4 linked regions of the Macaca mulatta genome follow. The protein of the gene in region 4 interacts with the protein of the main gene of each other region in a pairwise test. Links are inferred from orthologs where the notes say so. Each region holds a gene or a part of one and is shown on either strand. Other genes may lie near its edges.

What was found.
Region 1: the proteins of ARID5A (region 4) and SOX5 interact in a two-hybrid assay, tested with the Homo sapiens proteins (2 studies listed by BioGRID and IntAct). The two-hybrid records come from large-scale screens. The link is inferred for Macaca mulatta from reciprocal best matches to the Homo sapiens genes ARID5A and SOX5.
Region 2: the proteins of ARID5A (region 4) and CKS1B interact in binary tests that used the Homo sapiens proteins (3 or more experiments, as listed by UniProt). The two-hybrid records come from large-scale screens. The link is inferred for Macaca mulatta from reciprocal best matches to the Homo sapiens genes ARID5A and CKS1B.
Region 3: the proteins of ARID5A (region 4) and PNMA1 interact in binary tests that used the Homo sapiens proteins (3 or more experiments, as listed by UniProt). The two-hybrid records come from large-scale screens. The link is inferred for Macaca mulatta from reciprocal best matches to the Homo sapiens genes ARID5A and PNMA1.

Annotation. Positions count from the first base shown.
Region 1 is NC_133416.1:26,280,940-26,288,844, forward strand, and holds the start of SOX5 (transcription factor SOX-5), read right to left. Parts: upstream 4,610-7,905; 5' UTR 4,537-4,609; coding exon 4,499-4,536; intron 1-4,498.
Region 2 is NC_133406.1:112,025,082-112,033,000, reverse strand, and holds the start of CKS1B (cyclin-dependent kinases regulatory subunit 1), read left to right. Parts: upstream 1-3,927; 5' UTR 3,928-4,002; coding exon 4,003-4,061; intron 4,062-7,233; coding exon 7,234-7,361; intron 7,362-7,919.
Region 3 is NC_133412.1:146,881,499-146,889,426, forward strand, and holds PNMA1 (paraneoplastic antigen Ma1), read right to left. Parts: upstream 4,945-7,928; 5' UTR 4,142-4,944; coding exon 3,080-4,141; 3' UTR 2,274-3,079; downstream 1-2,273.
Region 4 is NC_133418.1:5,208,082-5,215,946, forward strand, and holds ARID5A (AT-rich interactive domain-containing protein 5A), read left to right. Parts: upstream 1-2,584; coding exon 2,585-3,059; exon of another isoform or gene 3,060-3,345; coding exon 3,346-3,398; exon of another isoform or gene 3,399-3,763; coding exon 3,764-3,861; exon of another isoform or gene 3,862-4,149; coding exon 4,150-4,309; exon of another isoform or gene 4,310-4,696; coding exon 4,697-5,911; 3' UTR 5,912-6,213; downstream 6,214-7,865. UniProt on the Homo sapiens protein: DNA-binding protein that may regulate transcription and act as a repressor by binding to AT-rich stretches in the promoter region of target genes.

The sequences.
Region 1 (7,905 bases), on a different chromosome or scaffold from region 4:
GGTTGCTGAAGAATTGATAGTGGAAAGAAAACAGACAATAAAAATCAGCCTTTACCCATGAATGTAATTTTGCTTTCTAAATGCATTATGAGTGCAATTCATATGAAATAGTTTCCAACTCTGTGAAGGACTAATGTGCTAAAGAATCAGAACAGGTCTTATTATCTGCCTCTCATGTATGATGCCTATACAAGATTTTTGCCAAAAGCTTCCTAAGAACAGGTAAATACTTTAACATGTGCTTATTATATTTGAGAAACACAAGATAAGAACACACCAACATGTGAAGTAAGCGTAATATTTGCACATTTCTATGTCTATCAAACCTGCTAAACACTGAGCAGTACACAATGTCACCTGACATTTAACCCTTAATTGTTCTTGGTAATCAGTCAGGTCTCCTGCCAAGTCTTCGGGACAGTATTTCAGCATAAGTGTGATAGAAATGTGGTTTATGAACTGCCTCATGCAAGCTGCATTCCAAACCAATGTCTTAGCTCAGTTAGCTTGCAAATTATTGACATGGTAATTAAAATCTATACTCAGTTGTAGACATTGTCTCCTCTACAAAGTAGTAGTAAATAACAAATAAATAAAATTACCAAAGGCTATCAGAACATCCTGAAAACATAATATCAAACTTACAGGTTTACAGTTGCCATTAGGTGACAGAATGTGAACAGATAACTTTTCTGTGATTCACACCTAGAGTGTGCCTGCTAACCTGAATGCACTTATCACTCGTGAGCACAATGGATTTTTTTGTTGTTGTTGTTAAAGTCTTTAATTAAGCAAAATATATCTGTGTAATAAATATTTCATTACTATGGTCAAACTTTAGGTAACTAAAATACCACTAATGTCAAAGAGTAGTTTTTTGCAAATGTCCAGCAGTAGCTTTTCATGGAATTTTATGAATTAGTTTGTAAAAGGATCTGATGTATATTTCTTTCTTCAGAAAAATACTGAAAAGTTTCCTAATAAGAAAAATTATTTAGTCAGCATGACCAGAAATAAATTTGATGGAAATATGAAGCAAATAAGTTAATTTTTATTGCAGAAGGTTTTACTATTGTAGTGTTCCTTTCAACATCTAGAAAATCTGCTGTCTGTTGTCTGCACCAATTTGGGAGAAGCAATCAAATAGGTGATACTAACAACCTAATTTGCATAATCCCACGACTTTCAATCCCAACTTTTTTCTTCTTTCTAGACATTATCAGAACTGTCTTCTTAAGCAATCATCTTACACTTGCTATTTAAGTTTCTAACATAAAGCAATTAGAAACTGTAACGAGTAGCTTAGACACAAAACTATTATATTACAACCAAAGAGGACAGATAAAATAAAAAGGAAAGAAATAGAATATTGAGAAACTACCAAAAATGGCTGTTTTACTTATCATGAACAAACTAATATTGACATTTAAGGCAAATATTTTCATTTCTTCCTTGGAATATCAAAAAATAGGTGACATTCTCAAAGGAAAACCTTAAGTCACAATTTTTCATTATCTACTTTCAGTTAAATATATACATTTATTGACTTCTTTTAAATATTTGGGGAAACTTCGGGCATTCGTTCTAATGATGCTATTACTCACATTTAGACCATGTTGCCAGCTATGTTTTCTCTAAACGGTAAAATGTAAAAGAGTTTCCTTACGAATAATCTTTAGAACATATACGCCCATTTGCTTCCCACCTGGGAATTGTGTTTTTCAGTAATCATAATCAGTCTATCACAAGGATGCTTGAAAATAAAAATATTTCAAGTTCTTTACCTTTTAGAATCACTGTTCTATTTGCACTACCTCCTGCATATTTTTAACAAACAATGAAATTGTTACTACTTCTTAACTATTTAATAACTGCTTGTTAGTCTGAGAGTACTGACCATGTTCATTTCTAGTGATGATAATATAGACACATACAAATCTGAACCCAAATTTTGATCCTGATATTTAAGTTTTGAATATTCCTTAAAGTTCAAATAGTCTACAGGCTGGGAAGAATAAAAGATGGACAAGACTCTACCAATGAAATTAGTTAAAAATGATCACATAAAACTTTTACAGTACATGAACCCCAAGCAATTTATTATGTTCTCTAGATCAAAGTTCTCTTTTTCACAAAGAAATTTAGCAGTCTTCTTTTAGATTTCTAAGTTTAAGCGGAAAATCATCTATAGCAAGTGATCCAACAGAATAAAAATTAACAGTCAATAGAAATGACCTATTTATTCAGTGAAAGTTGCAAACAGTTGAAAAGGCAAAAAAAAAAAAATCTAATTATATTTGATAGTTTCATTACATCATAAATACCTCCTTTGGAGAATACAAATATTCAATATTGTGTCTACATGATATACTGTATCATGCATGGTTGCCTATAGAGACACTCACCCGTACAAATTCAATGTAAACAAATAGTAATGATTTGCTGACATCTTTGTATGTATTACCAATTACAGCCACAGGGGAAATTATTAAGGAACGTTATAGTGTACGGCATTTTTCAGAATTATTTTAGATACTAATATTTCTAAATTTGATAGTCATACTAACAACCCTATTGATTATCACTTGCTTATTTAATTAGCTAGTTAGAAAAGCATGCCTCTGGGTGAAAAAAAAAAATGAAATTCCCACCAGGAGGAAAAAAGATGTTAACAGATTTGAGCATCAGAATAGGAAAGGGAAAAGTTTAGTTTAAAAAGAGATAATTGAAAAAAAAAATACAAATAAAGTTCACAGCAGGAAGCTTGCCTATATAGAGAAATAGGCTGCAGCCTGTTAATATGTAACTACCTTTTTATAAGTACAATCTGTTAACAGGCTTACAAATCAGTCTCAGAGTTGTATTTGCAAAAAGTATAATTAGAATTAAAGAATATTATCATTTAAGTGCTACTCTGTGCATTCTAGAAAACTTAACTGTGTTAAATTAGCAAATCGCTACATTAGGTAATGTATAGTATGTTTCACTATGAATAACTTCAACATCTACCTATGAAATAAGGCTATATTTGCAAATAAAAGCTCACTAATTAAAGAGTTAATATATAGAACTGAAAATTTTAATTCAAAACTGTAAAGAAAGCTCAAACATTCGCTGGAATTATCTAGTAAAGATGCACTTTAATTATACAAAAAAACACACAGAAGAAATCAAAGAAAGATGACAGCACTGAAGTATATATGTTGGCTATTTTACTTTCTTCCCTGATTTGATACTGGCTTCTCTAATATGTGACCACATTCAAGCGTTACTTTATCCTCAATACTCTTTTTCTCTTCCATTGCTTCACTTCTAGAATGTTTTAATCTTTGTCCTTTCTTTTTTCGTCTTTTCATATCAAATTCAGTCGTTTGAGCGATGAACAGCTTGACTTAGCATATTTTTAACCAGCTGGTCTAGCACCTAGCTTGCATTGCATAGTCAGATACAACAAATGTTTATACAGAAGGTAGCTTTCATGAAAATGAAAAAAAGCCTGGGTATCATGCATCCTGGCTTTTTTTAGCTTTTTTTTTTTTAATTCACCATACAGAATACAAAGTTTGAATTCTTTTTAATGGCAAACAAAATTCTATTTATAGTTCAAAAAAATGAACTTATGCTGGGATAAGAACTCAAATTTAAAAATTGCAATGTGTACTTATAGGAACATTAAGAGGGCTAAAATTCTTTCAAAGCCCTGCTTTACTTGCAACAACATCAAATAAAAGGATGTTGCAGATACTTCTCTAAATAGGAACAACTTAATTACAAATACACTATTCCCATCATAGCAAAAGGGGAAAATACAGTAAATTAAAATTCAGTGAAGACAGCTAACACAAAAAGTGGTCACTAAAACTTAGAAAGGGAACAGCCCCATTTATCCCCTTTCCCCCCCTATTTTTGACACTTATGGAGTAATCTAATATAGCGGTGATGTTAAATTTTCTTTGGAGGAAAAAAAAAAAAAACGCTCTCTTATATCAACAAAAGGTCATGTGCTTTACTGAGCAGCTTCCAAAGTTTTACGGAAGGATCAAATAGGAACTTATAGCCTCCGTTTAAAGCACCACTAAAACCTTCTGTCACCCTAGAAATTACATGAGACCGAGATGCTGAAAATGGTAACATTCTGCACAAAAGCATTTTTAAAAGGTGGGGAGAAAACAATCAATGAAGGAAGAAAATAAGAGAGTGAATGAGAAAGAGAGAAGCAACGAGTTGGGGAGAGAGAGAGATGCTTAAGGTTCATTTAATTTGCTGTTACAGGACGCAACCTGAAAACATTAGCAGAAATCCCGGAGACTTTGCAAATCAGTTCAATTTGGTCCGGGCAACCACAACAAAAAAAAATCAGCTAACAAGACTGCAGAAGCCCAAGCTAAAAGCTTCTCTAACAAACACGTTTTGGGGGAGCATCTTCCAATGATTCAGAGACTACTGTAAAATGGGAGAGTTGTACTTCAATATATTAGGGGGAAAAAACTGTACTCACCTTTCAAACTCCTGAGGTAAATCAGGGTCAGTAAGCATGCTGGAAAAGCACAATTTCCCTTTGTCACAGCAGCCACCTATGATCGTCTCCAACTGAACCTGTCAAGTGAGTCCAAACCTTCTAAACCAATTGATTTTCTCTCTCTCTCTTCCCCCCCTCCCTCCCTCTCTCTCTCTCTCCCTCTCTCTCTCTGTCTCTCTCTCTCCCTCTTTCTCCCCCCCTCCTTTCCCTCCTCTCCCTCTCCTAGGACTCCTTGACCAGTCTCTTAAAGGGGCAGTGCACTTCCAGCAGCCGGGTCTGGCTGCTCCCCCCTCCGCGGAGCCACACGCTCCGGCTGCAAGGCTCTAGACAACCTCAGGGTGCCTGTCCTTTCCTTTTAATTCTCTCTTCTAGACATCACTGAATGTGAGAAGTCAACTCATTTAACACGTCTCCCATACTCTGTCTTCTGAATCATAAAACTCACACACACACACGCATAACAGTATGATTTTGTAAAACATATTTGCTGATTAAAAACCAAGTCTAGATAATAACAGAAGCTCGATTAAACTGCATTTATTAACTAATGAAGCAAAAAATTTAAATGTTAGCAATAGCATTTTTACACAAAGAATTGTTACTCCTTCTCACCCTTTTCTAGGCTCTCTCCGTTCACACACGGAAATACACGCACACATACACACACACACACACACACACACTCACACACACAACAATCGGGCATTGTTCTGAGGGAAGAAAAGCAACTTTGACAGATTGAAATATAGCAGAGGCCCCTTCAAGGAAACCTGTAAACAACTTGTCACTCACTCTGTCCGTCTCCCTGTTAGATCGTGCTTTCCGCAAAGTGGTGCGAACGTCCTGGCAACCCAACCAAAGTTTCCTCAGCTCTAAACTCCATAAAACACGATGTGCGATGTGGAGGGGAATAGGTATCCGCATGCCAAAATAACACCCACGAGCGCACAAAAACCCAAAACGAAATCAAAACATAACAACAAAAAGACGCTACTAACAAACTGTCCTGTTTGGGATCGCTGGGGAGGTCAGGAGTAGGAAGCGCTCCCCTGGCTGTGGATCTCTTTAATTTCCTCTGCCCAGGCAGCCACAGATAACAAGGTGGACAAACTATGGCTTTACAGATTCTAAGCTGGCTGGCAAGGCACAGCCTCCATAGCAGTTCCAATTATCTAGATAAAAATCTGGCAGGCGAGAAAGGTAATCAGGTAATGTACCTTTGACATGAAATGACAGAGGCACATACACACACAGAGAGAGACACTTACACAGACATGCATGCAGAGATGGTGGCTGCCCCGTGCACCGCAGCATCTGGTCAGGGAGTAAGCACACACTCACCAACACGAGATAGTGTGCATTCTTCACACACGCATGCACACACACATACACACACACACACACTCAGTCACTCACACACGCTCTCCACTCCTACTGGGAGGGTTCATTCTGCACAAAAGGCTACATTACAGAGCCCGCCCCAATAAGGGAAAGAGAGGAAAAAAAAGCCTTCCATTGTTGAGAGGGCAGGTCAGTTGATTAGATTTTCTGTGGAGAATTCCACGAGGAAATTCCCTTCAAAGCCGAAGTGATTAACTGGGGGCTATTCTGGAAATGGAGCAGACAATGGCTCAATAGTCTGTACAGCCAATGTCCAGGCTGGCACTGAACTCACTTAAAAAAAAAATAAAAGCCAGACTCCCTGTTCTTTTCCACACATTCCTCCCCCCCAGCCCCCTCCACTCCTTCCAACTTCCCCTCCCAATTCCTTTTATTTTGCAGCTGGACAACATTAAGAGCCTTTAAAACCACAAGGGTTGACCCCACGGCAGTTTGATTAGGTCCCACTTTTTTTTTCTGGAGACAGGCAGACAGTAAGTTTACTTTTTTAGACATTCACAATGATACATCATACACATATTCTGAAGACAAAAAAAAAATCAATTATTAACTCATATTAGTAAATTTATTCTTCATTCAAAGCTTATACATTTTTGGACAAGTTGATAATAACTTAATATTTAATTCTATCATCAGGAGATATTCTAAAAATATACACACACACACTACAAAATCAATGTGGAATAAGATTTAAGCATGTCACTATGGAGTTAAGACACTAACAAAAACACAGAACTATGACCCACCCTGAAAAAGCTGTTAACAAGGGATGTGGCAAAAATGACTTGATGCTGACATGATTTTCACTTTCAGCAGTTGGGGAAGGGGGGAAGAGTATTACTCACTAGTCTTTCTTGTTGTTAATCTCAAATTATGTTTTGTTCCAGCAACAACCTACTCCTACATAGAAAAATGAGAAAATTGTTGCCTTTATTTTAAATATCTATTTTTTCCAGCCCGTAAGGGACCTACGATCTAATACGCTCTAATTGATAATGTATACAAATGATAATGTATACATTATATTTTTCTTCATTTGTTAATGGCGGTTATGAGAATTAGGGTATAGTAGCTGCATAGCTATATACACTTTTAAAAATATTTAAAAATTTTTGTCTTTATTAGGAAAAATCTTGCTTATCTGATATCAATAGAGGAAAAAAAGTGAAGAAGGAGGATGGGTGAGTTACAGGGAGCCATGGGAGCTGGAGTCAGGAAGAGGAGGAGGCGGGAGGAGAGGACGCAGAGAGAGCACAAGAAGGAAACATAGTGGCAGCATAAAGATAGAAACAAAGATAATGGCCATAAGGCAGGATGCTGAGATCCGTATGGTCCCAGCTGCTATCTTGCTACAGCTACTACCTCTGGTTGTTTCTCTGAAACTCTCATCTAGAAGGTCAACAGAACAGGTAAGAAAGAGAGGAGGAGTGTTTGAGGCCAACTATAGTATAAAGAAAAGATACTCATATTAGAACCTTCCTTATATTTGATTTCGATTTTATTGGCACTTAATATATGTATACATATGTACATATGCCAAATAAACACAAAGAACATATAAGAGAATTTTAAATGGTTTGAAAGTGAGTTTTTTGACTTTAATATATTCTGCAAACATTACTGTAGCCATTCAAAAACAAATTATTTCTTGCGCAATCATCTATGCCGAAGGAGTTGAAATAGACTAGGAACTAGACAGAAAATTTGCCAAATATAATAATGATCATCCTAATAATGATAATTTGAACTAATGGAACTCTAAGATCATAAGGAATTTTGTTCACATAAATTAGCTCATGGATCTTACACAGTATAGAAAGGGGTAGGTATGTATTTCCCTAATTTTCCCACTGTTCAACTTGGGCAAACAGAATTTAAAGTCATTCAACTGTTAGTAGCCCCTCTGTTACTTGAAGCCACTTCTATCTATTTCACTTGTGACACCATAATGCAGAATAAACTGATCCTCCAGAATTTATAGTTAG
Region 2 (7,919 bases), on a different chromosome or scaffold from region 4:
GTGGAGCCTCTTCTCTGGCTGAGAAGAGAACAGGCTGGACCCAGAGCTGCCTGGCTCCTCCCCAGGGGCGGAGAGCTAAAGGGAGAGACCAATCACGAGGACAGTGCTGACTCACAGGCTCAGAGGGGCTGAGCCCCCACCCCGCCCCAACCTCGGACTGGAGCAGAGGGTAGGGCTATCCAAGCTCCTCTCCCCTGCCCTACACAAACAACTAGTAATCTGGGGAGAAGGAAAGTGGGGGTGGGAGGGAAGCATGGAGGAGTTGGACGGAAAGAAAGGAGATAGGAGGTCTGGGTCACTCGAAACCGGACACAGGCAGGCCAAAGGGGGCAGGAAGCCAGGCTAGAGTAGAGGGGAATGAGGGAGGAAACAGAGGCAGCTGCGGGTGGAAAAGGGAGGAGATCTCAGAGCTCAGCATTTCCCTTCCTGTTCTGGTTGGACACTCGAATTCCCCACCCTCCAGCCCAGGCCACCCCCAACCACTACCCCATACAGTAAGCCTGGGCCATTAGCATCCTCTGCTACGACAGCTGTGGACTGGAGCTAGCGAAGTGGGGATGGGAAGGAAGTGGTCCCAATGGATGCAGAGCAGGGTCAAGAGGAGAAGCAAAGTTGGTGAAAAAAGGGGAATAAAGTCCAACCTGGATGGTACATCAGGAAGCTACCAGGCAAGAGGGGAACAAGAGGACATGCTGGTCACGGCTTGTTCTCTATGTATGCCATCTACCACACCAAGACCCATGGCTCATAGCCAAGCACTGTCCTCTCCCCTTTCCACAGGCCTTGTTAACACAGCACACTGTCAAGGGTGAGAATGAGGCAATCAGGTCCCCACTCCCACTCCAAACCACCCCAATTCATATCCCTCCTCTTACAGGACCCTAAGCCCCACCAAACAGCACAGTGTCCCTCACACCAGGGGAGGAGCCTGGCTGGAGGAGGTGGAAGAAACAGTTCTCCAAGAGAAGCAGAAACGACAGGCCAGGAAGGGACAGAGAGATCAGAAGACACATCTGTGTCAATAAGAACAGGAGAAAAAACAAGTAAGCACAGGAGAAAGTGGTGTCAGGAGAAGATGGGTTGAAGCTGGACACAGGGAACAGTCCCAAACTCATTCCTGCCACCCACGGCTTCCTGCCACTGCTCTTCTGGAGAATGCCATAGGCAAAGCTGGAAAGCGACCAAAAAACAAAAAACAAGTTAAAGATACATATTCCCGCCGGGTAAGGTGGCTCACACCTGTAATCCCAGCACTTTGGGAGGCCGAGGCGGGTGGATCACCTGAAGTCAGAAGATTGAGACCAGCCTGGTCAACATGGTGAAACCCCGTCTCTACTAAAACTACAAAAATTAGCTGGGCGTGGTGGTGAGCACCTGTAATCCCAGCTCGGGAGGCTGAGGCAGGAGAATCGCTTGAACCCAGGAGGTGGAGGTTGCAGTGAGCTGAGATCGTGCCATTGCACTCCAGCCTGGGTGACAAGAGCAAAACTCTGCCTCAAAAAAAAAAAAAAATACGTATTCACCCAAGCTCACCTTGGAATTACCCTTAGATTTACTTCAGAGGATTAAAATATAGATAGATAATTATCCTGATTAACAACATTAACACTTAAAGTGTGTTAGATACTGTGCTTAACTCTTAAATCTCCCCTTAGTGCTCATTCCAGAAGAGCCTTGTCACTCTGTCAGCCAATCCTGAGAAGGAATTTTATCACTTCTTTTCCAGCCAGCTCTCGGGCATAGAGAGAATGAGGAAAGGATTCCACTATAGCCTCACACCCCCAAAACACATAAACACACACTAGGATGTCCTCATCTGTTGAGATGATGTTCTCTGGGAGCCTGCAGTATCCAGGGCCAGGGAAAGACCAACGGGTGTGGGCGTTTGGAAGAAAAGAAAGAAGTATGACTGTTGAAATGTGCATGGGGAGAAAAGAGATTGCCTACTGGAAGTCAAGGTGATTGGGTGTAGGGAAAAAGCTGTATGTGGCTTCTCAGCCCAACTGGGAGGAGGGGAGAGGGGTGGGAAGTGGCAGGAAATGGCGAAAGCCTCAGGAATGTTTCCAGCAGGGAAGGCTGGGCAAACGGGGCCAGGAGGAATGCCCAGACAAGAACTATGGTTAGGGGGAGGGGAAGAGACAGAGAAGCAGCAACTGAACTGTCCCTTAAAAAAAAAAGAAAAAAATCAAACAACAAAAAGGGCACTATTATCTACCCCCACTCCAAACCACCGTTTTTCTGGTAGAAAACTTGCTCCTGTCACACCCACATGCCACACACCAACAAATCCATGGTCCTATCCACTTATGGATAGGCAGGCCTAGAGCTACTTCTGGGATGGAGTTGGTCCTGGGAAGGGAAGGCCAGGAGATGAGGCTGGGAGTCTGACAGCAAGTCTCTCTCCCTCTGGTGCCAAACCCTAAGTTCAGCCCCTTCAAATAGTTCTACCCTTGAAGGAGGTTAAGAAAGAGGAAAATGGGGCCGGGCGCGGTGGCTCACGCCTGTAATCCCAGCACTTAAGGAGGCTGAGACGGGTGGATCATCTGAGGTCAGGAGTTCGAGGCTAGCCTAGTCAACATGGTGAAACCCCCCTCTCTACTAAAAATACAAAAATTAGCCGGGCGTGGTGGCGGGCGCCTATAATCCCAGCTACTCGGGAGGCTGAGGCAGGAGAATCACTTGAACCCAGGAGGCGGAGGTTGCGGTGAGTCGAGATCGCACCATTGCACTCTAGCCTGGGCAACAAGAGCGAAACTCTGTCTCAAAAAAAACAAAAAGAAAGAAAGAAAAGAAAGAAAGGAAAACGGCTGCCTTTAATCTCACTCTTCACAGTCAGAGATAGGAACTTTGACTTCCCACCTGGGGGAGCACGAGAGTGCTCGGAAAACTGATCCCAAAGCCCAAAAAAAGACAAAGGACAGGAAAATATAAGCAGGTGGAGTTTCAGGGATTGACGACAAGGCTTTACAGCTGATGACCCAGGTCCCACAAAGCTCGTAAGGGGGCGTGGTCCGCCAGGACGCGAACTTCAGACTTCTATGCGGGGAGGCTTTCTGGACAGTCAGACACGGATTACGAACAGGGCGTGGCTTCGGAGGGGCGGAGCCCCGAAGAGGCGTGGCTCCAACAAATTCGAATCGTTCTTTGAGGAGCAGGGTTTTGCCCTTTTGGGAGATAGGCTTTTTGACAGGAGTTAGCAGAGGATCGTTGCTAGGAGGCGGAGTTTCGGAGAATGGAAGGAGTAACCAAGGGTTTCACGTAGTAGGGCTTGGAACGTGTCTGGGGGTGGGACTTCCAGGAAAACTGGGCGACAGGGTGGGGTCGGAGACAAAAAATAAAAATCAAGTCGGGGTTCGGGGGAGCCCCCAGAGGTTGGGAGGTGGGACTTCCGGGGAGAGGGGTCTCAGGGGCGGGACTTATAAATGAAGACCGGAAGTGGGGTCCCGGGAGAGGGGTTCCGGAGTGGAAGAGTGAGTCACCTAAGGAGAAAAAAGTCAAGACTCACCAGGGCCTCATGGAGTCTCCGCACCGCACCGCGGGCCGATTTGGTTCCGGATCACGCCACTGCCAGCTTAGGTTACCGCTCCAACTTTCTCCCCGGGCCCTGCCTCCCTGGAGAAACTTTATTACACTCACTTCCGGCCTCACTAACCCCTGACCCTCTACCTCAGGGTCCCTCCTTCACGCTTCCCACTTTCCCGAGTTAGCCAATGGCAGCGCGAAATCGTGCACAGAGGCAGTGGTGGCCAATAAGACGCCTACTTTCGACCCACGCTCGTTCTTGAGAAACGTAAGAACTGCCCTCCAATAAGGACCCAAGAGAAGTAAATCTAAGCCAATCGGAGGCTTGGAAGTACAGCTGTCCCGCCTTGAGCCAAACGGACCAATAGGAAGTGCGGGCGGCGTGTTTGAAAGCGAGGCCAAAGTGGGTGGGAGCGCGTGCTGCTGGGAGTTGCTTGGAGGTTGGCGGCGCGGGGCTGAAGGCTAGCAAACCGAGCGATCATGTCGCACAAACAGATTTACTATTCGGACAAATACGACGACGAGGAGTTTGAGTATCGGTTAGTGCTGGCGCGGGGGCAACAGCGAGGTCGTGAGCTTTGACCGCTGAGGAAACAAGCAATTAGTAACAGGAACTGAGGCGATAGAATTGGCGCATGCGTACGAGATGTGAACGGGCAAGGGTGTGATATTGGTGGAAGGCGTAAGGCGCATGCGCGGAGGTGGGAGCCTCTCATAAAACAATAAAGTGGTTGCGAATTTGGAGTCTGCCCTCAGTTGAGAGGAGGGAGTGGTAGGCGTGGTTAGAGTACTGACCACCCACACCCATGAGGGTTTCTGGATCATTCTCTGAACTTTATTGGGCAAACTTAACTTGCCTTGTAGAAACTGTTAGTTTTACAGTAATCCTGTGGAATCCAGTGGGAGAACGTAGCAAAAGCGGAGCTTGGAGTTTCCTCGCGTCCCTAATGCGAGAGTAGCGCTGAGAGAGTTGAATATTGCTTATTAACTCGTGAAAAAGACAAGGGGCATGGTTGTCTGGCTTGTGTTAGGAAAGGGACCGCTTGGGACTGAAATGGAATAAAACTGGCTAGGAGCATTGAGAAAATACTTAATATGGGTCTAATAGATGCCCTTTATCAAAGGAAACGGTTACGGAATACTTAACAGGTTTCAGGTGTTCTGCAAGGATAACACATGGTCTCTGCTGTTCACAAACTTAAAACTGTGAGTGATACCGACGGACACCAGAAAGGTGATAACACCCTTTGCTAGGAGCCATTACAGGGTGTGATGGGAGCACACGAGACTTGATAAGGAGAGGGAACTGGCGACCCGAAGGCTGCGGCTTCCTAGCTGTGCGCGGGTGTTGGGGTGGGGCTAGAAAGTCAGTCCCCTACTTTTGCTAACTCCAGGACCCCCCCCCACCCCACCCTTCGAGAACCCCCGCCGCCACCGCCTTAGAGGCTGACTTCTTACTTTCGGTCGGTCTTCTTCCCTGGGCTTGGTGTGGGGGCGGGGGAGTGTCCTAAAGGCCAATTCAGTGTGATGACTCTTTCACCACCATTGAAAACGAAACCAGTAGTAAACTAAATACGCGTGTTTTCATTTATATGTCGGAGATGAGAACACTGGGACAGAAAGAGGGGAACAATAGACGTTGGGGCCTACTTGAGGGAGAAGGGTGGGAGGAGGGAGAGGTTCAGGAAAAAAAAAACTGTCGGGTACTATGGTTAGTACCTGGGTCATAAAAGAATCTGTACACCAAACCCCCGAGTCAGGAGTTTACCTATATAACAAACCTGCACACGTACCCTTGAACATGAAACTTAAAATACTGAGAGGAAAAAAAAAGGAAGAGGGAAAGTTGGGGAAAGCTTGCTAGAGGACAGAGCCTGAGATGAGACTCTAAGAAAAAGGTATGTGGGAGAAAGCACCTCTTGACTGAAATTGTTTAGAAGACACTGGATAGCCATCTGCCAAGGGTGGGGATGATGGAATCCTGGCACTGGATACAGCATTCGGGTTTGATAAATTTCAAGTGCATAATCTAGATTGGGAATAAGGGAAGACACAGGACTCCAAAATGTTGGCATTATGCTAATCTACATTGTGATAATTAAGACCACTTCCTGGTTTGTTATCTTGTCTCCTCAGATGGAGAACATAAAATGAAAACTTGCTTTTCTTGTCTCTTCACCCAGCCTAGTTCAGGGCTTTAGGTCTTCAGAGAACTCGATGTGCATTGACACATATATAATCATCTTTATACCAAGACGACTCCAGATCCTCTTTGATATAATTAACTGTCTTTTCCTCAGCTGTTTTCCTCTACATCTGAACTAAACTAACTTAAAACTGTATGTGCTTATAAGAGATTTGCAGAGCTGGGAAGGAATCACCATTTCATCCCCTAGAAGATGAAACTTTTAACTTGGCAATGGCATTTTGGTTTAAGAGGGGTTTTTTGGTCTATGTATTGAAGCCAAATTTTGTGCCAGGGTGGTGGTAGGATGTGAGCTGTTTTCATATATTTGGACTAGAATTTTTTCTTTTAGGAGAATGGGGGGGAAACCACTGTTACTAGCACAGAGAGAGAACTTAGTACATTTTCACTGAGCATGATGAAGACTATCTGGATTAGTTTGAGTCACATCAGGGTAATAATTTCTTTGCCATGAAGGGAGACTTATCCTTGGTTAGAAAAGCACGGAATTTCCCAAAAAAAGTCTCAAGGTACATCCCTCCAGAATTAGGAAGATAAGATTCAGGATAGATTTTTTTTTTTTTTTTTTTGGAAGAGACAAGGTCTTGCTTTATTGCCCAGACTGGAGTACAGTGGCTATTCACAGGCACAACCATTGTGCACTGCAGCCCTTTTTTTTTTTTTTTTTCTCTTTTTTTTGAGACGGAATCTCACTCTATTGCCCAGATCTCAGCTCACTACAACCTCCGCCTCCTGGACTCAAGGGATTCTCTCCTGCCTCAGCCTCCCAAATAGCTGGGATTACAGGTGCATGCCACCACACCCGGCTCTTTTTTTGTATTTTTAGTAGAGATGGGGTTTCACGTTGTTGGTCAGGCTGGTCTCAAACTCCTGACCTCAAGTGATCCACCCACCTCAGCCTCCCAAAATGCTGGGATTACAGGCATGAGCCACTGTCCCTGGCCTATTCTGTATTTTAATCAAAGATTTCAAACTTCATACTGTATCTTTGTCAAACTCCTGAGTTCAAATTACTCTCCTGCCTCAGCCTCCCGAGTAGCTGGGACTATAGGTATGTGCCACCATGCCTGGCTTAGATTTTAAAGGATATTTCATTTCATCCTTTGTGATGACTTGTCCACACAGTACTCCATAAAAGGCGTTTCCTCTCCACAGAATAACTTCTCTTCCTTCCTTCTAATTATTAACACTGTGTGCTCCGTGGGGCTCCCATTATATTGTAGGCAATCAACTAGAAGACTATAAGGTCCATGAAGGCAGAGAAAATGTGCCTGGAACTTAAGTGCTTATTCACTGGAATTATTCACTAATTTGTATTTTTCATATACTCTCAGAATTTATATAACATAGCCTGTATTTCTAGCTGCTGCTACCCCACAATAAAATTATATAAACTCTGACATCAGAAACTAGTTTTTCTTTCCTTTCTTGGCCTTGTAAACAGGCAGTTGTCTGAGACTATATCTGGTACTAACAAATTCCTCACTTCTCCGTTTCTGTTACAGACATGTCATGCTGCCCAAGGACATAGCCAAGCTGGTCCCTAAAACTCATTTGATGTCTGAATCTGAATGGAGGAATCTTGGCGTTCAGCAGAGTCAGGGATGGGTCCATTATATGATCCATGAACCAGGTCAGTGCACTGGCTAAAAACAACCATATAGAACTGCTACACTGAGAGAATGAAGGAATAAGATTGTATAACCCAAATAGGGAGATAGGAAATAGTTTATTGGTTTCTTCCCCCTCTAGTCATGGGGGATTAAAAAAAAAAAAAAAAACTAGTGACCAAAAATAAGATTAAAAAAGTGACAGGTTCAGAGACAACCTGTCACTAAAAAACCTCCTGTAATCTTCCATTCAATCAGAGGGTATTCTTTTTAAGGCCACATATAGCCTGGTCATAGTCCCTGCCTCATTCTCCATCAGAAAACATTCTTGGATGTATTCCAAATAAGCAAAGGAAAGTATATTTATTGATAAGGCACCAGACACCCAGCTGCCAGGCAAAACTTAATAAAGGACACCCTGGGGCTGTATAAACATAGCAAAAGAACTGATATTAACAATTCTGTACTTGGCAGACAGTCCAGATTCTGGGTCTGCTTCTCAAGGCCATATGCTTAAGTCTTTATTTAGTTATAAAGATCTGAGTGGGTGATAGCTGGGGAGATGGTAGTGGAATACACTA
Region 3 (7,928 bases), on a different chromosome or scaffold from region 4:
CGAGGTCAGGAGTTTGAGACCAGCCTGGCCTACATGGTGAAACCCTGTCTCTACTAAAAATACAAAAATTAGCCGGGTGTGGTGGCACACACCTGTAATCCCAGCTACTTGGGAGGCTGAGGCAGGAGGATCACTTGAGCCCAAGAGAGAGGTTGCAGTAAGCCAAGATTACGCCACTGCACTCCAGCCTGGGTGACACAGCAAGACTCCGTCTCAAAAAAAAAAAAAAAATGTAGTATGTGTGTATATGTGTGGAGTGGGAGTGTGTACATATATGTGGTGGCTCGTTGGTGTTTGGTGGTGGGAGTGTGTGTGGGTGTGAGGAGAAGTGGGAATGTATGTTGAGGTTGGGAGAGTGGCATAGTGTACATGGAACGGGAGGAGGGTGTATGTTATCCGGGGAGTACTGAGGGGGAGATGACAGTGAATGTGTCCAGAGTGTGAGAGGTCGGCTGAGTGCATGCCTGATGCTGGTGGGAATGGAGGGGAAAGTTATGTGAATGGTGGGTAGCGGGTGAAGACATGCTGAGTGTTTGTGGTAAGTGAAGCTGAGCGTATCTGTTGGGAACCAAGGCAAGTATGTGGAGATGTGTTTGTGACAGGAGGAAAGGGATGTACAGACGTGAAGCGAATATGTGCACCGAAAAATCTGGAAGAACATACATTACCCCTTATAAACTTGTCGAATGGCTCAGCTATAATTTTAAAACCTTATTAGGGAAAAGCTCACTGAACACAATATTCATGTAGTAACTTTAGATTCACTGAGGACCTCAAAAGATGGATATCTTCAATCACTGAATCTTTGCCGCAAAAAAAAACATGTTTTATAGCTGTATTTCCCTTTTTATATCTTCCTGTTATAAATGGCTGCTGTAAAATAAGCCGTCATTTTACACAGGTGTGATGAATTATAGTTATTTCTTCAGTGAAATAAAATGTTTAGCTGAAAAGTGATCTTAAGAGAAAAACATTGCCAGATAACCTCCTGAACCCCATTTCAAGATTTTCTAAAAAAAATTTTTTGAGAAACAGGGTCTCACTTTATCACCAGGTTGGAGTGCGGTGGGGCGATCATGGCGCACTGCAGCCTCAACCTCCTGAGCTCAAGCAATCTCCCACCTCAGCTGCCTGAGCTGCTGGGACCACAGGCCTGTGCCACCATGCCTGGCTAATTTTTAAAAATGTATGTGGAGATTGGGTCTGTGTTGCCCAGGCTGGTCTCAAAATCTTGGCTTCAGGCAATCCTCCCTAAGTGCTGGGATTACAAGTGTGAGCCACCATATCTGGTCTCTAAATTTTTTTTTTTTTTTTTTTGAGACGGAGTCTCGCTCTGTCGCCCAGGCTGGAGTGCAGTGGCGCGATCTCGGCTCACTGCAAGCTCCGCCTCCCGGGTTCACGCCATTCTCCTGCCTCAGCCTCCCGAGTAGTTGGGACTACAGGCGCCCACAACCGCGCCCGGCTAATTTTTTGTATTTTTAGTAGAGACGGGGTTTCACCGTGGTCTCGATCTCCTGACCTTGTGATCCGCCCGCCTCGGCCTCCCAAAGTGCTGGGATTACAGGCGTGAGCCACCGCGCCCGGCCTAGATTTTTTTTTTTTTTTGAGACAAGAGTCTCACTCTGTTGCCCAGGCTGCAGTGCAGTGGCGCAATCTCGGCTCACTGCAACCTCTGCCTCCCAGAGTGATTCTCCTGCCTCAGCTTCCCAAGTAGCCGGAATTAAAGGCACCCACCACCACACCCGGCTAATTTTTGTATTTTTAGTAGAAAAAACTAGATGGCTCATGCCTGTAATCCCAGCACTTTGGGAAGCCGAGGCAGGTGGATCACTTGAGGTCAGGCGTTCCAGACCAACCTGACCAACGTGGTGAAACCCATCTCTACTAAAAAAATACAAAATTAGCTAGGTGTGGTGGCACATGCCTGTAATCCCAGCTACTCAGGAGGCTGAGGCAGGAGAATCACTTGAATCCGGGGGAGGCAGACGTTGCAGTGAGCTGAGATCGCTCCATTGCACTCCAGCCTGGGCAACAGAGCAAGACCCTCTCTGCCCTTAATAAAAATAAAAAATTTAAAAAATTAAAAAATAAACCAAAAAAATGTTAAGATGACAGCAAGAGGGGAAGGAAAAAAAAGGACTTGCCATTTAAATTCACATAGTATCATACAAAGCTTAAGAGTAAAATAAATGGTTTAATGACAAAGTCTTCATAAGAAAAAAGGACAGAGTTTACTTAGGCTAAAAATGTTTATACATGCCAGAAAAATGAGAAGACAACAGAATTTTTAAAATATTTTAATTTGTATATATAACTTCAAATTTAGAACACTCAGTATGAACAAGAACTATTCTCTGACAAAGATCTGAAATGGGGAAGTGAATTACTGTACAGGTGCATATCAACCTCTCCATGCAATTTACATCTGTATCTTATGCAATGAGAAACTGGTTTACACAGCTCCGTAATTGCAGTATTTTTTTAACACCCCATTTTGCAGTCTCAGAATACTTTTCAATTAAACTGATCGACATGTTTAAAGATGAGAAATATGATGTTTGCATTGTAAAGTTGAGTAATAGCTAATAAATGCACATTTCCTTCCATCAATATAAATCTGGAACTATTTATGGTAAAGAAAAATCTATCTGCGCTATCAGTAATCTAATAGTTCATACTTTTACTGAACACTTCCTGTGAGCCAGGCCCCGTAGTAAACATCTGCACATGCAATTTCACATTCAGTGTGGAATAGGAAGTGTCAGAGGTTCGTGTGTTTTTCACAACTGATTATGATGTCCATGATGACAGCGTGCACTAAGCGCTGTGTCCAACCAACCCTTTACCTGGCACTTTAGCCAGCAAGACCCACTTGCATTGTAGCAGCTCACGGTGCTCGCTTGCACAATTTTAGAATGTTACATGAATACTCAGGCCTGACTAACCTTCCCCTCCAAAAAAACAACAAAACGGAACAGGGCTAAGCCTTTACTACTCAGAGACACATCTGTAAGACCCCCACAGGGACAAGAAAACTAGCTGTGATCTAGGTCTGCACTAAAGCTGTCTTTTCTGGCACTCAGAAGTGCCCTTCCAGGCCTAACTGCAGAAGGGTGGCCTCAGCCTCCTCCTCCTCCTCCTTGGCTTCCTCCTCACGGATCTGCACCAGCAACTGAAAGAGGTTTGGGGCCGGCCCTTCCCCAGCCCCGGTAAGCCACAGCTGCCTTCGGATGGCCCCGCTGTGGTTGGCCCCAGCAATGACCTGCTCTAGGCGGGCCTGGTTCACGTTATCTTTATCAATGGCCCCCTTCTCTACCACCTTCTGTAGCAGAGGCTCCAGACGAATGACATAAGCAGACAATTTTTCTCCCGGGTTCTGATAAGTGTTCAGAAATTTGATCTGGGCATCCCTAGAGCTCTCAACGCTCCCAAACACCTGCTCAAGCGCCTTCAGGCATTCGGCAGTGGTTATCGCGGGGTTGTTGGACTTGAGGATGCGAATGACATCAGCGGCAGGGCCTCTAAGGCTCTCCATCAACCGCCGCCTCTTTTCTACATCGGACACCTGCCACTCCTCTAGGACCTCATTAGTGTGCTCCAGCCAGGGATCAAAGGTTTCCTCTCCAGGCCCTGGGATGTCCCTCCCCGAGAAAAGTGTCAGCCTCTTGTACCATATGGACTCAACAAGAGGCTGAATAACATTATCCAAAATATAGTTTAGCATCTCTGCTGGCATCTCTGGGCCCGGGGTCGGAGTAGGGTTCTGAAACCCAAGGACACGGGCAACATCTTGCACGGTCCACCCCTCTCTAGCTAGGAAGAGGTGCAATCTTTCTAAAAATTCAGCATCAGAAGTTGGGGGCTTAAACAACACTTTCCAGACCCCTCCTTTGCCCGGCATCTCCCTGGGGATCGCGGCGTAATCGACAGCGCCAGTGAGCTCTAATAAGGCTGCTTTCGCATTTTCTTCCCTCCAGAACATTCTCCCAAGCATTCGGTAGGGGACCTGGGGCATCGCTGCCTGGAGGGTCTCTTCGATTTCAGCCTCATCACAGTTCACTGGGATGCCCCAGACCAACAGAGCTCTCTGGGAGTTCACATCCATCCCCCGGCACCAGTCTTCCAACAGTGTCATCGCCATTTTCTCAACTATCAAGACGCCAATTCTACCAACAGACTGTGGCTCACCGTACTCCTGGCCTTAGAACAATACCAGACACTCCCACCAAGTAGGCCCAAGGGAGGTAGGCTTCATGCATTCACGACTAACAAAGACACAGAGTCCTGATCTCGCCCTTCTCTGCCCCCCCAGTCAGTCCGTAGGTACACTTGGAGCTGAGCTCGGGGACGCTGAGGAAGTCACGCGGCCGTCGCCATCTTGCGTCTGGGTCCGGGTCCGGTCGGGTCTGCCGCTTGCAGCCGGGCTGTCGCGTCGTCGTGCAGCGGGCAAGGAGCGAGGGCGGGCGGCGAAGGCAGGCGCGCTGGGTCGAAAGCAGCCGGGGTGTGGTCGCGGGGCGTGCCCGCCGGGCGCTCGCTGCGGCTCCTGGAGAGGATCGGGCGTTCGCGGTCGCAGCCTGGTCTTCCCGCGGGCGAGGAGCGGCCGTTTGGGAGACTAGCCAGAGGGAGAGACTGTGCCGAAGTCGCGGCGGCTGCGGGCCAGCGGAGAGCGGCTTCTTGGAGGGCGTGGGGACTCCTCTTGGCGGGCGCGGGGACTCCTCTGGGCGGGCGGCGAGGACGGCCGAGGACCAGAAACGAAGGCAGCAGAGGAGCAGGAAAGCCGGAGAAGCGAGGCTGGAAACAGCACAGGCAAGGGTGGGCAGCGGCGGCCGCGGCGGCCTGCAGCGGCTCAGGCGCTGCGCGGCTGCCCCAGCGTCGAGTCCTACCCGCAACCCGCTGCGACGTTACTGCTGCAGTGGAGGATGGGGCCAGCCCGCGAGCGGCGTCAGCCCCGCCCCGTCCCGCCCCTGTGGCGGAGCCGCTCGGGCGTCGCCATGGCAACGGCGCCCCAGCTGGCGCGAATCACGCCTGCTCCGGCGGCCCGCGGGGGTCGAGCGGTTGCCATGGTGCCAGCGAGGGGCTCGGGCATTTGTTTCTCTGATGGCGCATTTCCTTTTTCATAATTTTCCATTTTAACAGCAAACAAATACTGCTAAGCACCGTGTTTTAAAAATAATAACCCAATCCTGGAGTGGATTTAAGATGATACTATTGGAAGTCATGGCATCCCTCATGGTGGACTTGTCTACTCGGGTTGCCCAGCCAGTCCACCCTGCACGTGAAAATACTCTCCTCAGAACCCTGGCTTCCCGTTACCCCTGACCACACTGTGCACCCTGCGTATTTTATCCCAATGAAGCCGGAGTGCGCCATTTTTTGTGTGAGATACTGAGTTTAGACTTTTTCTTGTCTAAACTTTTGTAAACATCTGTTTGTCTGTGTCTACTGAGTCATCTTTTAGCCAGGCAAACATTAGTGTTATTTTCCTTTTCCTGGCTGGCATCGACAATAGGCTGCTAAAAGAGAATCCTTATGGCTCAAAAATGTCGAGTAATCTCCCTGCAAGCAAGACAAGGCCCACTTACATCAACCCCAGATGGTGAAAATCCCGAGAGAACATAGCATTCAACTCTGAATTTTTAAAACCTTATTTAATAAAAGGTTTAAAGATACAGAAGAACATTCAAAAGTAAATAAGTTACATAGGTACATTACAATCACATCAGCAAGATTCTTTAGTGTATTAATTTTTTCTTATAAAAAGCACACAAAAAATAAAATCTTCAGTCTCTATCACAACTGTACAGCAAAAGAGGTAATATTTATATGTATGTACACTATTTTAATATGTAACAGTCTTTTTCAAAAAGGGTGCCACAGGCAGCAAACACACAAAAGGCAGTGTCTGATCATTTTTGTTTCAAAATAAAAGGAATATACTTATTTATATGCTATTAAAATATTTGTACAATAATTACAGACTGTCAAGGCTGTTCCTGTGCTCTGTCCCCTCCAACAAGGCCTTCAACTTAGAGACAAATGAGGAAAAAGTGAAACAGCTGCAAATTGTTAGAGGCAAATATTAACATAGCAAAATGTGGGGAGGACACAATTGTTTTATAAAAATATCCCTACTTCCTGTAAACCTATGGAGTTAGGCTTGCCAGTCTGATAATAAATACCGTCCCAGAAAAGCGAGCCCCAGTGAAAACAACTAAACAGCTGAGGCTTGAGCATGTGTTGTATTCCTCCTTCATCTTAACATCTGGCACATGAGAAGAAAGAGGTTAGGTCACTGAGGCAGTTAAATATAGGCGATCCCTTTAGACATAAGCAGCAAAAGACCTTGGTGCCAGGAGTGGAAGGGGGCGCGGCAGAAGGGGTGGTATGTACCTTAGCTGTGAGGGGGGCTGCTGAAGGCATGGAGGACAGTAATGATGGCTCTGCCTCCTTGGATGGGTGGAGACCTCAGAAATGGTCTGCAGCACAGGCACTAGGTCAGTTTCCCGCCCTTAGCTGAATGCAGATGGATGCTGGGAGATGGATATGGTGAGATGGTGTGGGGAGGATGTTAAGAAAGCTGGAGGTGTTTATCACTTCTCAGAGCTCTGAATATAGGGAAAAAAACAACAAGAGACAAGCCCAGGGAGAAAGCACCATTAAGGATATACCTATGCCAGCTTCTATAGCTGCACCTACTTTATTGGCAAGTCACTTGCCACAATTACATCTACCCTCTAAACTTTTTAATTTTCACACTGTATCCAAGACATGAATGCATCCTGGAGCATGGACCTTCCTAAAATATGGTGTCTGGCAGGATTAATGCAGAGAGGTACCATCTTGATTTTCCCCAGTTACATTCACCGGGTCTGGTCTCTGTACGCTTAGAAGAGTAGAATCACTTTCTTGTTTAAACATTTATGGCCGGGCGCGGTGGTTCACGCCTGTAATGCCAGCACTTTGGGAGGCCGAGGCGAGTGGATCACCTAAGGTCAGGAGTTCAAGACCAGCCTGTCCAACATGGCAAAACCCCGTCTCTACTAAAAAAAAAACATACAAAAATATTAGCTGGGTGTGGTGGTGTGTGCCTGTAATCCCAGCTACTCAGGAGGCTGAAGCAGGAGAATCCTTTAACCCGAGAGGCAGAGGTTGCAGTGAGCCGAGATCGCACCACTGCACTCCAGCCTGGGCGACAGAATGGGACTCTGTCGCAAAAAAAAAAAAATTTTTTTTCCAAGTACAAGATGTTACCACTGAACAAAAGGGTCTCCTGAATGATGGAGGTTTCTGTTACCCTATGTCCATAAAGGGGACTGAAACCAAATATGGTTTGAATAGAAAAAACCTTGGGAAACGTAAGTAGCACTTTGGGGCTAAGCTGCGAAGGCACTCGTATTATACAAGTAATTTCGAAGAGAGCCTAAATTTGCTACCCCCCTGCTTCTACAGGGTATACCAGATTTTTGCTGTCTTGGGATACTGAGCTCATGGAAACCTGTGGAGGAAACTAACCGGGAAGTTGGGGATGTAGGTAGTCATCCAAGAGTCTGCAGGGAGAAGAAATTTGTTACTTCCACAGCCGGGGTCCTGTAGAACCACATTAATGTATAAATGGATGCTGAAAAATACCTGACAGTGCACAGTTTCAAAACAAAACTCCCTCTCCACTCCCAGTTACTGACCTGACGCTTCTTGGCTATCTCGTAAGGAGTAGCAGTATGAATACTTTCTGGCTCCTTCCTAATACATTGACCTGTCATACGCGCATTCACTTAGAATTTCTTTTGCACAACTCAGTTGAGTAAGATCAGAAAAACAGCTGAGCCCCGCTCTAGCCCCGCTATGGGACTGGACGTGAAGGGGCCTCCAGAACCTCCTGGCCCTTTCACTTCACCCATGCCAAATATGGCTTCTTCAAACCACAATCC
Region 4 (7,865 bases):
TGCGTTTTTGCAGCCATCGGCACATGGTGGTTCTTAGTAAAATACAGCCCACAACTTCTCCGGCCCACGACGCAGGGTTGTCGTGAGCCTTGCTCATTCCAGCTTGGCACCTGCTGTGTGGGGTACGGGCAGCCTCACTGAGCTACCAGGGAGCCCCAGGAGCCACCGGCAGTTCAGCCAGGATGGCTGTGAGTAGCCAAGGGCGACGGAGGAGCTGCCCATGGCCAGGGGCCAGAGGAGGCCACCCAGAGGAAGGCACTTGTCACAGAGACCTGAGGGGTCACCAGGACCCTTGCAGGTGAGGGGAGCATGTGGCCTAATTAGGGCAGTTAGAACTCTGCAGATGCTCGGGAAGGTCAGATGTTCCCAAATATTCTCAGGGGAACTACTACCAAGGGACCCCATGTGTTGCTTTGGGACCACAGCCATGGGATCCTTTAGCTCTCCAGTGAGACTGAGCTGCTTCTCAATTGTGTCTCAGCATGGGGCAGATTTTGGAGACAGGATTTCCCCAAGCGCCATAGCCCAACCCCGGCCTCCTGTGACTTGACCTCAAGGTGGTTTTGCGTTTCCTTCAAAGATGTGGGGAGATAGCTGGAGCAGAGGAAAGAAAAGGGGCAGGTGTGGAACAGATGCAGTGGGTTGTGGGGGAGTGGGGAGGAGGGTCTCTGTGTGTGTGTGTGTGTGTGTGTGTAGCCTGTGTGCAGCCAGGGACACACCCCTTCCCCCTGGCCAATTCTTTTTTTTTTTTTTTAATGATAGAGACGGGATCTCACTATGTTGGCCAGACAGGTCTCGAACTCCTGATATCAGGTGATCGCCTGCCTGGGCCTCCCAAAGTGCTGGGATCACAGGAGTGAGATCACAGTCACCGGCGCCCTCTGACGACTCTCATTGGGGATGGGGAGACTGCTCCTGTTCCTCCTGCTTGCATCTGAGGTGTTCTCTCCCCACCCCTTCTTCCTTCCCTCTCTCCTTGCAGCAGCTCCTGTCAAAGGGAACAGGAAGCAGTCCGCAGAGGGTGACATCCTAGATCCACCTGCATCCCCCAAACCTGTTGGCGAGCAGAACGGGAGCCAGAACCCCATCCCACTGGAGGTGAGTCGAGTCCCTCTGCTGACTCCCTGGGCGTTCTTCCCTGCCACCCTCACCCGTGTTCAGCCTCCAGGTGAACCTGGACACTCCCCAAGCTCTCAGGAGGCAGATATGTTCCTACCCTGGCCCTGTCCAGCAGCCAGGGGACTGACTTGTCTTCTGTGCCAGAGAGTTATTGAAACCAAGATTGACTTGGTTTTTGTAGCAGACCCCTTTTTTCAAGTGAAGATGACCCACCACCCTGATCCATAAAACAGACAAAAGCTCCAGCCCGTGATGCAAAACCACATTCACATCCATTCATCCAGATGCATAACATGGGCATATAAAGTCACTCGGTGAGACCAACAGGGCTGTTGCGATGAGCAGAGTCTGAAGGGGGCGCTGCAGGCAGCTTTTTCGGAGCACAGTTGGCCCCGGCTTTCATTCATTTTGGCCATTTGCTTTGGTGGCACAGTCTGGAAAAGTATCCAGATTCATGCAGAAAAGTGTTTGCAAATGGTAGTTGTCTTTAGTAGCTTGCTGGAAATTCAGAGTAGAGGCCTGGAGGAGCAGATTGACTTGAGCAGCTATGAGAGAGCCTTCCTTCTGAGGTCTGCACAGACCAGCCCCAGGGCCCCGGCATGTTACGATTTCATGGGTGATATATGAGTTCGTATGTTGTTTCTTCTCAGAGGTCTTTAATACCTTAAAAACACTGAACTATTACAGAAGCTATTTACAACAAACAAAAAAAGTAACACTGAAATAAACTTGAATCAATTTTTTTTTTTTTTTAGGCAGAGTCTCACTGTTACCCAGGCTGGAGGGCAGTAGCACAATCTTGGCTCACTGCAACCTCCACCTCCTGGGTTCAAACGATTCTTCTGCCTCAGCCTCCCGAGTAGCTGGGATTACAGGCATGCACTACCAGGCGTGGCTAATTTTTGTATTTTTAGTAGAGATGGGATTTCCCCATGCTGGCCAGGCTGGTCTCGAACTCCTGACCTCGGGTGATCTGCCCACCTCGGCTTCCCAAAGTGCTAGGATTACAGGCGTGAGCCACCATGCCCAGCTGGATCAAATATTTTGGGAACACATGGCTGTCTGCACTATCCTAGTCTAGATGGTTTATGTCCTGGAAGCTGTCTGTTCTCTGACAGGGTGTAGGCCCTGGGCTGTCTGCCCTGAGCCACTTGCTGGATGAAGGCATCAGCGGAGATTGTCCCTCTGGGACCCGCAACCCAAAGTCCTGTGCCCCTGGCAGCAGTGTGCAGTTGAAGCCCAGAGCTTCACCTCCCTGTGCTCAGTACGGCAGGCCGGGGCCACACAGAGGCTCGGGGAACGTGGGCCTGACAGAGCAACCCACGGCACCGGAAAGCACCAGGCACCTTTGTTCCTTCAGCTTTTCCCTCGGCATTGGGGGTAGGGGGGAGGGCGGCGGGGAGTCCCAGGGACACTGAGCCTGCCCTCCAGGAGCTCCTAGTCTGGCAGAGGAGCTGACACAAATATGACAAATCAAGAACAAGACAGAGAAGTGATCCTGGCCTGGAGAAGGCTGGGGACTGCTCTTGTGGACACCTCTGGAGGCAGCTGCTCTGGGGTGCCCAGCCTCTGGGGGGGGGCCCTGAGCTCTAGCCCCTGCCCTAGGGCACTGAGGGCTGATACCTGTGCCAGCCGAACCCAGGAACAGTCACTCCCTCCCAGAACAGTGGCCAGGTGCTCTCTGGGAAACTGGGGTTGGGGGCAAGGTACCTTATGCCTCCTGCAGCCAGTGGTTTCTGCACGTCCCCAGCAGCCAGCCACCAACTGGGGCCCATCCCAATGCCTCCTGTTCTCTCCCCAGGACTCCCCCGAGGCAGGCGGGGAGCGGGAGGAGGAGCAGGAGCGGGAGGAGGAGCAGGCCTTCCTGGTCAGCCTCTACAAGTTCATGAAGGAGCGACACACGCCCATCGAGAGGGTGCCCCATCTCGGCTTCAAGCAGAGTGCGTCCCTGGGGTGCAGGCAGGGAGGGGGGCCCAGCAGGGAACCCCACCCAGGCAGGGCATCGGGCAGGCACTCCCACTCTGGGTGACCCAGGTTGCAGATAGAAAGGAGGCCTCCCTCCAGGCTGCCACCGGGCCAGCAGTGCACAGGCCACAGCCTGCCCATCTACTGCAGTGGCCCTGCCTGGGTGTGTGCTGCTCTGTGCCCGCGTGTCAGGGCACTAGGAAGGGGTGGCTGCCCCACCTCCCACGGAGGCTGACGGCCAGCCTGCCCCTCTCTCCCCAGTTAACCTGTGGAAGATCTACAAGGCAGTGGAGAAGCTGGGGGCCTATGAGCTGGTAAGGAAGGCACCCCCAGTCCTTGCCAGACTGCATCTCCCTGGGGTGAGCCTGCAACGCTGTCCTTGCCTCTGGACAGGAGAAGAGCCAGGATCCCCAGTCCTGCCTTCCTCCCCGCCTCCCCCGCTGGTTCTCTGCTGCTCAAAGCAGCTTTTCAGCCTTCCCCATCTGTTCTGCCCGCCCCGTGTTGGAAAAACTGCTTGGGCCAGCAGTCCGTGGCCCTGGGAGGGAGAATCAGCCGCTGTCGGAGCCGCAGAGCAGCTGCCAAACCGCAGTGCTTTGGTCCCTGCGAGGGCGGCCAGAGCCGCAAGGACCCCGCTGCCAGGGGGCGCTCGCGGCCGCGCCCTCACCAGGTGCCCTTGCAGGTGACCGGGCGCCGCCTCTGGAAGAACGTGTACGACGAGCTGGGGGGCAGCCCGGGCAGCACCAGCGCGGCCACGTGCACGCGCCGCCACTACGAGAGGTAGGGGGGCGGGCCCGGGTGCTGGACGCCGCCTGCCCTGCGGGGCTCGGTCGACCTTGCCGGGAGGGCTGGGTGGACTCTGTCCGGAGCGGGCGGGGTGGGCCCCGTCCTCAGCGCTGCGGGGGCCCAGGCTGGCTGGGCGCAGCCACCGAGGGAGCTGAGCTTTGGGGCGAGGAGGAGAGGGTCTTCTTCGGCGCCGGCGGGAAAGAGGGGCTCAGAGGAGGCCACAGAGGCCGGTGGAGGGGATGGGCGCCGACCTCCTGGGGGACATGCCCGGTTCCTCCCCAGGCTGGTCCTGCCATATGTGCGGCACCTGAAGGGGGAGGATGACAAGCCGCTGCCCACCTCCAAGCCCAGGAAACAGTACAAGATGGCCAAGGAGAACAGGGGGGATGATGGGGCCACCGAGCGGCCGAAGAAGGCCAAGGAGGAGCGGCGCATGGACCAGGTACGCCTGTGGCTGGGTGGGGCCACCCTGTTCCCTGCCTCTTGCAGCCCCCCCACCCCACAACTCCCTGTGGCCACGGAGCTGTCTGCTCAGAACACACCGAACATGCACCCAGGGCGGGACTTGCAAGGTTCCAGGTTCTCCACAGTGCGCAAGTTCTCTACTTGTGCAAGCAGACTGAACTCCAGCCTGCACCCCACCACCAGGCCCTGTGTCCCAACCTGAGGCTGTGTCCGCTCAGAGGACAGGGCTCCTTTGGAAAATTCTGCACAAAGGACTGCAAGAGCTAGCGGGGAACCTGGGCAGGCCTGAAAGTGCCGCCTCCTGCTCCTGAGGTCAGGATGCATGGCTCGGGCAGCCCTGAGGCATGGCTTTCTCTCATTCCAGATGATGCCAGGAAAGACCAAAGCAGATGTTGCTGACCCAGCACCGCTTCTTAGCCAGGAGCCCCCCAGAAACAGTACAGAACAGCAGGGCCCGGCCTCTGGGTCTTCTGTGTCCTTTGTGGGTACCAGCGGCTGCCCTGAGGCCTACAAGCGGCTCCTATCCAGCTTCTACTGCAAGGGGACACACGGCATCATGTCACCACTGGCCAAAAAGAAGCTCCTGGCCCAGGTGAGCAAGGTGGAGGCCTTGCAGTGCCAGGAGGAGGGCTGTCGCCATGGGGCGGAGCCCCAGGCATCCCCAGCTGTTCACCTCCCAGGGAGTCCCCAGAGCCCCAAAGGGCTGACTGAGAATTCCAGGCACCGGCTGACCTCTCAGGAGGGATTGCAGTCCCCGGGTGGCAGCCTCAGGGAGGAGGTGCAGGCGGGCCCCTGCCCGGCAGCCCCCATCTTCACGGGCTGCTTCCACACCCACCCCACCGAGGTGCTGAAGCCTGTCAGCCAGCACCCCAGGGACTTCTTCTCCAGACTTAAAGATGGGGTGCTATTGGGGCCTCCTGGCAAAGAGGGGCTGTCAGTGAAAGAGCCCCAGCTGGTGTGGGGCGGGGACGCCAACCGCCCTTCTGCATTCCACAAAGGCGGCTCCAGAAAGGGCGTTCTCTACCCCAAGCCCAAAGCCTGCTGGGTGTCCCCCATGGCCAAGGTCCCACCCGAGAGCCCCACGCTCCCACCCACCTTTCCTGGTAGCACAGGCCTGGGCAGCAAGCGCAGCCTGGAGGAAGAGGGTGCTGCCCACAGTGGGAAGAGACTGCGGGCCGTGTCTCCCTTTCTTAAGGAGGCAGATGCCAAGAAATGTGGGGCCAAACCTGCGGGGTCCGGCCTGGTCTCCTGCCTTCTGGGCCCAGCCCTGGGGCCTGTGCCCCCAGAGGCCTACAGGGGCACCATGCTGCACTGCCCGCTGAACTTCACTGGCACCCCAGGCCCCTTGAAGGGCCAGGCTGCACTCCCCTTCAGCCCCCTGGTCATCCCAGCCTTCCCAGCCCACTTCCTGGCCACTGCGGGCCCCTCACCCATGGCCGCTGGCTTGATGCACTTCCCGCCCACATCCTTCGACAGTGCTCTCCGCCACAGACTTTGCCCGGCCTCATCTGCCTGGCATGCACCATCAGTCACAACCTATGCAGCGCCCCACTTCTTCCACCTCAACACCAAGCTGTAGGCCAGCCCATGTGGAGTCGACCGGGGCCGACAGCGGGCAGGTGCTGCTGCTAGAGGGCTCTGGACTAGTGCCTGTTACCCAGGACACCCAGGCCATGCCCCTGGCTGGGCAGCCTGGCACAAGTGAAGGAGGTGGTGGGAAAACTGGGTGTATCTCAAGGCAGCAGGCTGAGCCCAGAGCAGAGGACACAGTTGTTACAAGGCCCTGGGAGAGGGTGGGCAGCTCCCACTGCCCCAGAGCAGCGCTCAGAGCACCCAGGTTGCCCACGGAAAATCCAATAAACAGAAACGAATGGGAATCCACATGGCCCTGAGGTGCACATGGTATGGGCCTTTGTAACGGCAGGCAAGGTGGGGGTGAGCTCGTGGGTGGGGCTGCCATTAGGGGGCCAAGGAGGTGGACCTGAACGCCACCACCCCGAGAGCAGGCCTAAAGCAAACCCCAGCCTCTGCCCCTGTGTAGGCAGCCTCTGACATCCATCCTTGCCTTCGGTCTGGCTTCCTAGTTGAGCCTCGGGAACATGTCGCCTTTCTCATTGTGGAGATGGGGATTGGAGACCCTGGGAGGGTCAGTGACTTGCCCAGGTTCCCCTGGCAGGAGGGGCAGAGGAGGACTGCACAGGCCGTGTGACTCCTGTGCTCTGAGGACCCCAGGCTGTTACCAGTGCCCCCTGGGGTTTGGGGGTGTGACCAGGACGCCTGAGTTGGTCTGCCTTGGTGGTGGATGTAGATTATCTGGGGCCTGTAGCCGAGCCCTCTCTGCAGCACCATCCCACTTGCCTGACCCACATGGACGGTCCAGAATTGGACTGGATTGAAATCACAGGAGGTGCCTGGAGGGAAAGGGGAGCAGATGCCCCGTCTCGGCCTGGGTGTCTGCGTCGGTAACAAGCCCCTGCGGTTTCAGATGTGGTTGCCCCAGGGCTCATCTAGAACCCCCGTGGCCTGATGCCCTGCTTGCTGCAGGCCTGATGGGAGCAGGGCCTTGGCTCAGGAGGAGGGAGGGCAGGTTCTTTTCAGAGGCACCATCCCCTCTCTCCACAAGCAGCCTGCACCCAAGCAATTTCATATGTAGTCCTGGAAAAGTGGGGCTACTGCTGGCCAAGCAGAGGGTAGATGTCGGGGCATCAGGTGTGAGCAGGTCAGCGGGCGACACACACCACTGGAACTTGCCGTGCCCGCTGGGCCTGGGATGCTCATGATCTCCGGCCGTGGGAGGGGCCCCCATAGTTTGCAGGTAGGGAGGCTGAGGCCAGGGATGGGAAGGGTCTTGCTTGCCCAAGGCCACCATTCACAATGACAGAACCCAGGCCAGGGAACGTGCAGCATGCTTGGCACCAGGGAGTGGGTGGCCAGGCCAAAAGTGCACCCTATCCAGCCCCTGCCCCTGGCCACCTCCTTCAGGAGCAGCCTGTGACCGGTGGAGGGGCAGAGGGTGGTGGTCCCTGCTGTTGAGAGCACTCAGGCTCTGCAGGGGCATCTCCCAAACTTCCACCTCCTTCCTTCTGAGAGGTGCCAAGATGCCAGCCTAAGCACCTGCAGTGACCTGCCCTGAGCTCCCACTGCCACATGCAGTCCTTCTCTCCGAGCTGCAGAGGCTCAGTGGATGATAAAGGATGGGAAGGGGCCGGGTGCGGTGGCTCAAGCCTGTAATCCCAGCACTTTGGGAGGCCAAGGCGGGCAGATCACCTGAGGTCAGGAGTTCGTGAACAGCCTGGCCAACATGGTGAAACTCTGTCTCTACAAAAAATACAAAAATTAGCGGGGCATGGTGGCGGACGCCTGTAATCCCAGCTACTTGGGAGGCTGAGGCGGCAGAATCACTTGAACTCGGGAGGTGGAGGTTGCAGTTAGCCCAGACTGCGCCACTGCACTCCACCTTAGGCAACGAGTAAAACTCAAAAAAAAAAAAAGGGTGGGTGGGGGGGGCTGAGTTCTGCCCACCCTCCAGGCCC